2 linked regions of the Neurospora crassa OR74A genome follow. The protein of the gene in region 2 interacts with the protein of the main gene of each other region in a biochemical or structural test. Links are inferred from orthologs where the notes say so. Each region holds a gene or a part of one and is shown on either strand. Other genes may lie near its edges. The genes, in order: NCU03246 and NCU02776.

Evidence for each region.
Region 1: of the proteins of NCU02776 (region 2) and NCU03246, one has a biochemical effect on the other in vitro, tested with the Saccharomyces cerevisiae proteins (3 studies listed by BioGRID). The link is inferred for Neurospora crassa OR74A from reciprocal best matches to the Saccharomyces cerevisiae genes CDC6 and CDC14.

Annotation. Positions count from the first base shown.
Region 1 is NC_026501.1:5,041,638-5,046,150, reverse strand, and holds the start of NCU03246 (tyrosine-protein phosphatase CDC14), read right to left. Parts: upstream 3,023-4,513; 5' UTR 2,477-3,022; coding exon 2,419-2,476; intron 2,199-2,418; coding exon 1,896-2,198; intron 1,835-1,895; coding exon 231-1,834; 3' UTR 1-230. Other genes in the region: NCU03245 (hypothetical protein), read left to right, coding at 3,845-3,876, 4,090-4,375. UniProt on the Saccharomyces cerevisiae protein: Protein phosphatase which antagonizes mitotic cyclin-dependent kinase CDC28, the inactivation of which is essential for exit from mitosis. To access its substrates, is released from nucleolar sequestration during mitosis.
Region 2 is NC_026501.1:9,228,569-9,232,915, reverse strand, and holds NCU02776 (cell division control protein Cdc6), read right to left. Parts: upstream 3,106-4,347; 5' UTR 2,959-3,105; coding exon 2,898-2,958; intron 2,835-2,897; coding exon 820-2,834; 3' UTR 429-819; downstream 1-428. Other genes in the region: NCU02777 (molybdenum cofactor sulfurase), read left to right, coding at 3,727-3,808, 3,865-4,347. UniProt on the Saccharomyces cerevisiae protein: Plays a crucial role in forming the pre-replicative complexes.

The sequences.
Region 1 (4,513 bases), about 4.2 Mb from region 2:
TGCTGATCATGCAAACGTGATGGTTAAAACAGTATGCTGCATCTCGCTCGCTGAATGCTCCAAGTTTGCTTGCTGCCACTGAGAAACCCAAGACTCCCAAAGGCATAACCCTATGCTCTTGAACGCACCTTTTCTTTTTGTATCTCAAATGAATTATGAAGCCAATGAATCCGAGCTTTCGTTTGTAACACATCAAGTCAAGTATAATCTTTTGACTCATGAGAATAGGGTCACATCCCACTTATTTTACGCATTGCCGATACAGCGGCCGGACTGGTTGTCGAGTTCCCTATACTCCCAACTCGTCCACTCGTCTTTCGAACACCAGCTTCTCTGACGCTCCCAGGTGGATGGCGTTTCGCACTAGTGTTGCCTCGTATCTTGGTCAAAACTCCAGACGCGGAACTAGTGCGTGGAGCGTGGTCATGGGCCTTGATTCGTGCTGCGGCAGTACCAATGTTCTCGATATCGTTCGATGCATCATTATCCATGACTTGATAAACAGTCGTTTTCGTGGTAGCGGTTTGGTGGGTGACAGACCGTTCGGGGGGTTGTCCTGGTGAAGTTGGAGCAGCAGACTGTCTTCGCCGAGATCTTCGAAGATTCCATTCCTCCTCTGAACTCGGCCCTCTTGAGCTCTTGTGAACTGTGATCACCTCGGTTGTCACTTCTGTCATGGGAACGGGTTCTTCCTCCACAGTGGTCTGAATAGGTCCCCGGCCATATCCTTTCTGGCGATCTACTGCGCCCCGCTGCGTCTTCCTTGGCTGTCCTGGCGTAGGTGCGGGGAGGTAATCCTCTTGTACGCCGATATGATTGTCACGCGCCGACTCCCGATCGATCTCGCCTAGCGGTGTCCGAACTGATCCTCTGTTAGAGGGTGTGGACACGCCATTTTTGCTAGAGCTACGACCAAGACTCGTCTTCGACACGGCACGGACAGGGGTGCTGGGATGCGCTGTCCCGTTAGCCTGAGCGGCGGCGGCGGCAGCGGCTGCCATTTCTTTGCGCAGCCTCCGCTCAACCCGCTCCTCAATCCACCACTCCCGGAAGATGCCCTGGTTCAGATGTAACCAGTGCTGCTGAGGCCCTACGACCATGCCTGGGCGCATGAAGCGCATGTAGGCAATGACCTCGTTTGCTGTAAATCCATGTCGGTAGATCAGGTAGGCACCGATGAGGCAGCCTGTTCGGCCGAGGCCAGCTTTGCAATGAACAGCAATGCCCTTCTTCCTAGAGATGGTTTCATGGGCCATGCGGATGAATTTCCGTACGGTCGAAAGGGTAGGACATGTTCCGTCCTCAAAGATCATGTCGATGTGGTTGATTCCTAGGGCTTCAAAGTATGAGGGATTGTAGAGCTGCGAGTTCAGCCTGACGACAAGGCCGATGTCTCGCTCCGAGAAATGCCTGAGAACATTTTTGAAGGGCTGCGGCAGCGTAGGATGTGCGTCGACGGCGGCTAGGGTCTTTGGCAGAAGTGACCACTGCTCGGTCCCCTCGGGGGTGGGAGCAACCGGGGTATGCTGAGGAGAGGCAAATGCCAGGAAGTTGGGTGTAATCCAGTTGAAGTCGCCGTGCTCAACTCTCTCAAACTTTTCGTACTCGTCAAGGTCGAATGTCTCCAACACGCAGCAGCCTTCCTCCTTGGCCTTCCAAACGCCGTACACAACGTCCTGAACCGTGATGCCGTAGTCGGCCTGGCTGTAGCCGGCGTCTCTGAACGGCATTAGAGGGGGGTCAACCTGGGCGACCGGCGCAAGAGCTAGATGCGGAGGCCACGATTGGATCAAAACCATGTAGCAAGCTAGTAGACAAGAGGCATTGGCACGACCTAAGGTAACATTGGTCAGCAATCTTTGCTGTTCTCGAGGAGGCGGACTTAGATGACCTACTGCGTGGATCGGCCCTGCTCCAGAACACTACCGGCCTGTCTTTGTTCTCCTTGGCCCCAAGAATTTCGTGGAACTGCAGGGCGAAGCGGTAAAGGTGGCCGATGTGGAACGGGCCAAAATCGTGGTGGAAGGCATTGTATAGAAGAGTATCGTCGACAGTGAAGTAGTATGGCTTCTTACGCTCCGTGACCTGGTCGATTGTTCGTTGAGAGCGCTTGCGCGGGGACCGTGGTTCAGGATCCGGGTAGGGAAACAAGGTATGCTCGGTAGGAGGTTCAGAGTAAGATGCAAGGTACAATCGGTCTGTAAAGGTTAGTATACTGTAAGGCAATTGCTGATATTGTAGAGGATATTCAAAGGTGCTCATATTGGGACGAGCAGCTCCGTTGCGGAGCGGTGAACATGGGATGCGGGTGGATCATAAACATGGAGTTTTCGGACAACGGAGCCAGAAGCAAAACAAAAAAAAAATTGTAGCTTCAATTAAGAGGACCGGAGCGGCGCACAAATAATCTACACGTACCGGGAATGTACTCGATGATTTGCCCCAGATTGCTGGAGTGTCTGGAGGAAGGAGCCATGGCGTCGTGGCCTGGGAGGCTCAAAGTCGACTGTTTATGTCGAGAGAGCGATTGGCGTTGCGACAATGCGCAGGCGCACGTACGGGAATAGTGATGCTGTGCAATGCAATGAGCTACGTATAGGGAGGCGGGAGCGAAGGATGTTAAAGTCCAATTCGATCTTTTGTCGTTTGAGGGCTGTACTTGAGGTCGGCCAAAATTATGGTCGGATTGATTGACGGGAAGAAGGTGAGGTCGAGATCGCAGATCGTTTGCGCGAGCGATTGTGTGCCAACAAGGGAAAACCAAGCAGCCAAGCTGGGCTAGGTAGCTATACCGCGAGGCAAGGGACTGTGTACTGCACTGCAGGTGCGGGGTGGGATGAAAGGGCCAAAAACAAGGGCCAAAGCCTCCAAAGAAGGACGAGAGGACACCGGCTGCGAGAATGCAATTCTTGTAAAGAACGAAGGCACCGGAGGCAGGAGAATTGAAGAAACAAAGGAGTGGGCAACTCGATGATGATGTGCGAGAGGAGGAGGTCAGAAAAGACCGGTGGGTATGAGCTGGTTGCGGAGAACAGGTTTTGTAGCAGGTACGGCCTTTACCGGTACTTACCAAGAGCGGTGTTTTTGCTGGCAAGGTTGTATGTCGTGTGTGTATTGTCATTGGCAGGGACCCTGGCGAACCGGAGAACGAGCGAGACCTTCACCTCACCTTCCATGCAGAGACCGCCTCCAAGTCGCAACTGATCTTGCCCGACCGCTCTGCCTGCGCCCGGGGTTTAGCGTGGGCCAGCGAAGAATTCGGGGGGCTTGGTATCTTCCAAAACAATTCACCGCCCAATAAGCGCGTTCAAAGCTCCATCTCACCCGCCGTTGTCCTGACAACCTTCTCTCTTGGCATCCGCAGTCGCGCCTGGACCAGTAACATCCAATCGCTTCGCTCTGACGGGAGATCCCCCCCCAGAGCTCCACTTTCCAGCTGAGGTAGAGAGGGAGGTGTTGCCGGAGCTTGTCCTTTTTCTGTAAAGCCGCCATGATGCCTTTGCGCCCAGCACACGGCAACAACCGAATATCGAAACTCGTTCCCTGTTCAGCCAGCCTGCCGCCTACGACCTTGCGATAACTGTAGACGATAGTAACATCACTGCGGAATTGCCAGTGTGAGATACAGTTTGAGGTTCCTACAGAGTTTCCCACAAGGGCCTGTTATCGGTCATCACAGCCCAGGCACACTCGCGGCGGTTGGAATTTGACATTCGTCATCGGGTAGCGCTTACCACACAAACTCCCCTGACAACCGTTAGGCGAGTGCCAGTCTGAAACCCTTTGGTTCACGACAACATATTTCTTGCAAGTGTTTACTTCGGGGTTATTAAAGACCGCAACCATGGCAACCGACGATAACTTCCCCTGCTCGCTGTAGGTCATTTGTTTTTGATTGTTACTTCATTCCTTGTTCTGATATGTTTTGATCCTCTGTTTATTTTCCAATTTTTGAAATTTTTTTTTTTGATTTTTTTTTCAATTTTTCATCTTGTACCATTCGTCTCATGAGATCATCGTCACATCCTTGCTTCACTCAAACTCTGCATACCTTTCAAGATAATCGACACTAACACAGCAACCGACAAGAACACTCCGAGTGCCCTTCCCTGATGCTCGGTTAGCTTCTGTTGCCCTGCAGGCTTTGAGGGTGGACAAGGAGCTCTCCGGCCTCGTGAAGCGGGAACTTTCGACCGTTGCGTCTCCTGGCAGCGAACATGCTGGGGAGACGGTCCTGCAAGTCGACTACAAGGCCACCACAAACCGCATGCTGCGCGTTGCCGTGAATTCCTTTATGGACAGCCTAGCGTTGGTGTTGGAGGTGCAGGAGGAGATGGATGTGGATGTCATTGAGTCTGAGAAAGCCAGCATCTGAGGGCTGCTTGTGTCGAGACTCTTACGGGTTCACTCCTGCTGCAGCAGACTCAATTCGCCCACTCTCCGCCCACTCTCATCTGGGGCCAAAGATGACGCGACAGACATGGCGCCATGCCTCTGGACACTGAGCGGTTAG
Region 2 (4,347 bases):
AAACTGAACTAAACTAAACCATAACAGTACTGTTCTTCAAACTGAAAGGTGCCCAAGATAGGTAGGTAGTTACGTATGCGCTTGTACAACCACTGTTCGGATCGGATCGGAAGCGCACAGAATGGAAACGGAAGGGAGGGAACGAAACATACAGAACCTAAGGGGTCGGGAAAGGCAGGAAAGGAAGGCCGTTTACAACGCCGCCGGCCACACCGTCGGGGAATTCAAGAGGTAAGTATATAAGTTAGTTGATGGCCGGTTGTAAACCCCGCATCTCAAATGCATACCATACATACTATTGTTTTGGTTCCTGAGCTGTTCACATCTACCTTTACCTATCTAATAAGACCGGAAGGGACGGATGGATGGATGGATGGATGGATGGATGGATGGATGGATGGATGGATGGATGGATGGATGTCAAAAAGTGGTTTTTGTAAAGTGTCTTCATTTTTTGGTGTGTATCAATGTGTGTCTGTCTATGTACGTACGACGGCAGGTCTATGTAATGGATAGGTACTAATGCCGATGATGAGGACTTTTGTGCCCCTGCTCCCCATTTTTGTCTTCAATGCAAACAAGTACGCAAAACCAAACAAATACCCAAACGCCAAACACCAACCCTTGTCCTGGGTTACAACGAATCCAAACACCTTCCCTATGATATACTTTTGAATGCTCTCTCAAACACGCCATGCCATGCTCCGTCCGTACTTCTCAACAATGCTTCCTTCTCCAACAACGCAAAACAACCTACTCATGAAACCCGACTCGTCCAAATCATCAGCAACTTTGCAATACTATCCCAAACACAATCAATCAATCATCCAACGCCTCTCCACTCAAGATCCCCCTCAAAATCCCCACTCCCGCCCCATCATCCTTCAGCAAAGTCTGCTCGACCTCCCTCTCCCCCACACAGCTAGCCACCCTCTTCTCATCTCCCGCCACCAACGCGCCTCCCATCCCAAACACATCCTTCTTCTTCTTGCCTCCCCGCTTCGGTGTCCCCACTCCAGGCGAGCTATACCCCAAGGCAGTAAACGATCCCGTCTTGCCGTCCACTGGCGTGATCAAACTGAGAGTTTCCAAGGAAGACACCACCTCGCGAAACTCAGATGACGAAAGCGGATGAAGCAGCGAGTCCTGTTTGCAGAGCTTGGTGTAAGCTTCAAAGAGAGTCTTGACTGTCGGGGCAATTGGCGCCTCTTGTTTCCTCGACGGAGTGCCGGTAGTGGATGCAAAACTGGCTGAAGCAGAGTTAAGAGCCTCCGACTGCGCGGCGCGGTTACGTTTCTCGATGGCGACCAGAGCGCACAGAGCGGCTTTCTGCTGGAGGTTGAGCGTCTTGAGACGCTGAGTGGTGCCGTTGCTGAATGCTGCGGCTGTGACTTTGCTGAGGTCGGCGATGCTGACGCGCGGAGCGGTGGCGGGCGTCAAGGCTTGCAGAGATTTGAGTAAAGAGGCCGAGACGCTGGCGCTGGGTCCAGTGGAGATGCTCCGGAAGAGAGAGGAAGGCGCAGGAGCCGAGGAGAGGTTGGTGTTTTCGCCTAGGACGCGCTTCTTGGAGGGAGACATTTGTAGCATCTGCTCCTTGACTTCGTTTTCGTGCTTCAGACGGGTCTCCGACTCGACCAGGTCGATGGCGCGGCGGCAGATCTCGAAGGCGCGGCGCAGGTCGCCGGTTTGGCTGGAGACTTTGCGCGAGCAGAGCTCGATGGCGGCTGGGTGGAAGAAGGGTATGTAGTTGGGGTCCTTGGGTGTTCCACCAGGAAGCAGGCTCTTGAGACGTGTGATGATGATGTTCTTGACCTGAGGCGCCGTGTATGGAAGGATGGGCAGAAGCTCAGGCTTGAGGTTGCGCGACTTGAGGCGCGGCAGGAAACGGTCGGTGAGGTCGAGCGCGTTGGCAATGCCGATCAGGGCGAGGCGCGAGTTCTTCTTTTCGAGTGACCATTCGAAGAGGCTGTAGAGACTTTCAGGGTCGAGGGTGAGGATGTGGTCGATTTCGTCCAACACCACGAGGAAGACGTCCTGGGTCTTTTTCCTGGGCAGGATGAGCTTTTGGAGAGCTGCCACCACGTCGCTTTCGGTTGAGAGTTCCTCCTTGTCTTCATCTTTGCTGACTAGCTGGTCGAGAAGGGTGACGTAGAGATCCTTGGACGACTTGATGCTCATGCAGTTGATGTAAGCCTTGCGCACTGTTGATGTCTCGGATGCGAACTTGTCGGTGACCTTGTTGACGATGGCGCTCTTTCCGGTTCCAGGAGGTCCGCTGACGTAGAGGCAGCCGCTGGGATGGGCAGTGGTGCAGCAATCCAGGAAAGTGTTGAGCTTCTCGCGCTCGTCGTCGCGTCCAATGAGCTCTCCAGGATCGGCGCTTCGAGAAAAGAGTTGGCGAGCTTGATGGTAGACTGTCTGAGAAGCGGCGGGTGTCATGGGCGTGCTTGGTGTCATGCGCCTGGAGAGCTTGCCAACGGACATGACGCGATGGCGCGGAGTGGTGACTGGTACTCTTGCAAAGACATCGTAGTGTCGTGGTGTGGAAGGTGTGACGGGAGCTGTCTTTGGCGGGCTGGCGATGACTGATTTGCGCCTTCTGAGAAGTGACTTGGCTGGTGTTTCGGCCTCCTTTCTGTCCTCGTCCTCGTCTCCTGTGGGCTTGCGGTTTTCCTTGTGGTTCTCAACGTCCTCGTCGGCAGTTGGCTTGGGTGGTGAGGCGGCCTTCTCCTTCTCTGCTTGGATGTGGTCGGGCTCATGGTGGATCTCTGGGTGGATTCGGAGAGAGCGTCTTGTTCGCTTTACGGCAAGAGGGCCTAGTGTGATTTCCTCGTCTTGTGGTCTGTCAGTATGTCGATGGCAACTCTTGAATGTCGTTGTCAGTTGCAGCTGCTCACCTGTGAGTCTGGTGCTCCTTCTCCTCTTTCCCAGAGTCGTGGGTGCGCTAGGTGAGGCCATGATTTTTTGTCAAGTCTAAAACACCAGTCGCAATGCACAATCACAATGACAAGCGGCAATCGCGTGGAAAGAACGATGCGCGGATGTTGATGGTGGTGATGGACTTGCGTGGTTGTGTGGTTGTAAGGTGGAAAGAGGAACCTTGCGCACTCAGTCCCAGTCGCACTGCACCAAAGTAGAATTCCAGTTCGCGCGCTGCCACCCCTGGCACATTCCACTTCCACATTGCGGAGACGCGACCGCGAATTTGTGGGGCTGCAGCTCGGTGCTCGACGCGGCTTCCCCGCTGCACTGCGCGTTTCAATTAAGCCCCGTTGCGCATGAGCCACACAGACTGTGGCTAGGGAGGGTTCGTTTCGTGGCGCGTGCCTTGTGTCAAAGCGGGGCCTCTTCCAGATCCGTATCCACTTCCCCGCACTATTCTCACAGTGTCCACAGGGGCATTCCAGGGGAGCCCTCCACTGAAGCAGGGAGACCGCCGCCTGTGTTTCACTTTGCTGTGCTGGAAAGTGGCGATCTCCGTCCCGTTGGACCTCCCGAATCGGTACGTATAAGAAAACTAAACCTCCAATACCCGACGCCACTACCGTAGGTGCCTTTGCTTGTGTTTATCGACAAGTATCATGACCACAAGTGGCAATGACAAGTCATCCACCTCAGTGTCTGTTCAGATGTCCATGTCGATAGCCCAGAGATCTCACAGAAATATCAAACTCGGTTGACCGGTTGTCATTTAATGGACTTGGTGATACTTGATTGTTCTCCAAGATGGGTTCGTTAAACATACAGCACAATGGCTACGATGCCGACGTGGAAAAGATAAGAGAAGAAGAGTATCCTATGCTGAAGGGCAAGTTGAAGTTCGTTTTCAACAACTTGACCAGACCACTAACACAAAACAAACAGACTCCATCTACCTCGACCATGCCGGCACCACCCCCTATCCCAAGTCCCTCATGGACCGTTTCGCCCAAGAGATGACCACCAACCTCTTTGGCAACCCCCACTCCGCCTCAGCTTCCTCCCAACTGTCAACCCAGCGCATCCAAGACATCCGTCTCCGAGCCCTGCAGTTCTTCAACGCCGACCCAGCCGACTTTGACCTCGTCTTTGTCGCCAACGCCACAGCCGGGATCAAGCTGGTTGTCGAAGCCATGAGATGTCTGCCCACGGGCTTTGACTATGTCTACCATCAATCCAGCCATACCAGCTTGGTAGGAGTTCGGGAAGAGGCTAGAAGTAGTGTTTGTCTGGACACTCGGCAGGTGGAAGACTGGTTATCTGGGAGCTGTCCCTTTGACGACAACGAAGACGAAGAACGACCGATACTCTTCGCCTACCCAGCCCAATCCAACATGGACGGCCGTCGCTTTCCCCTTTCTTGGTCTT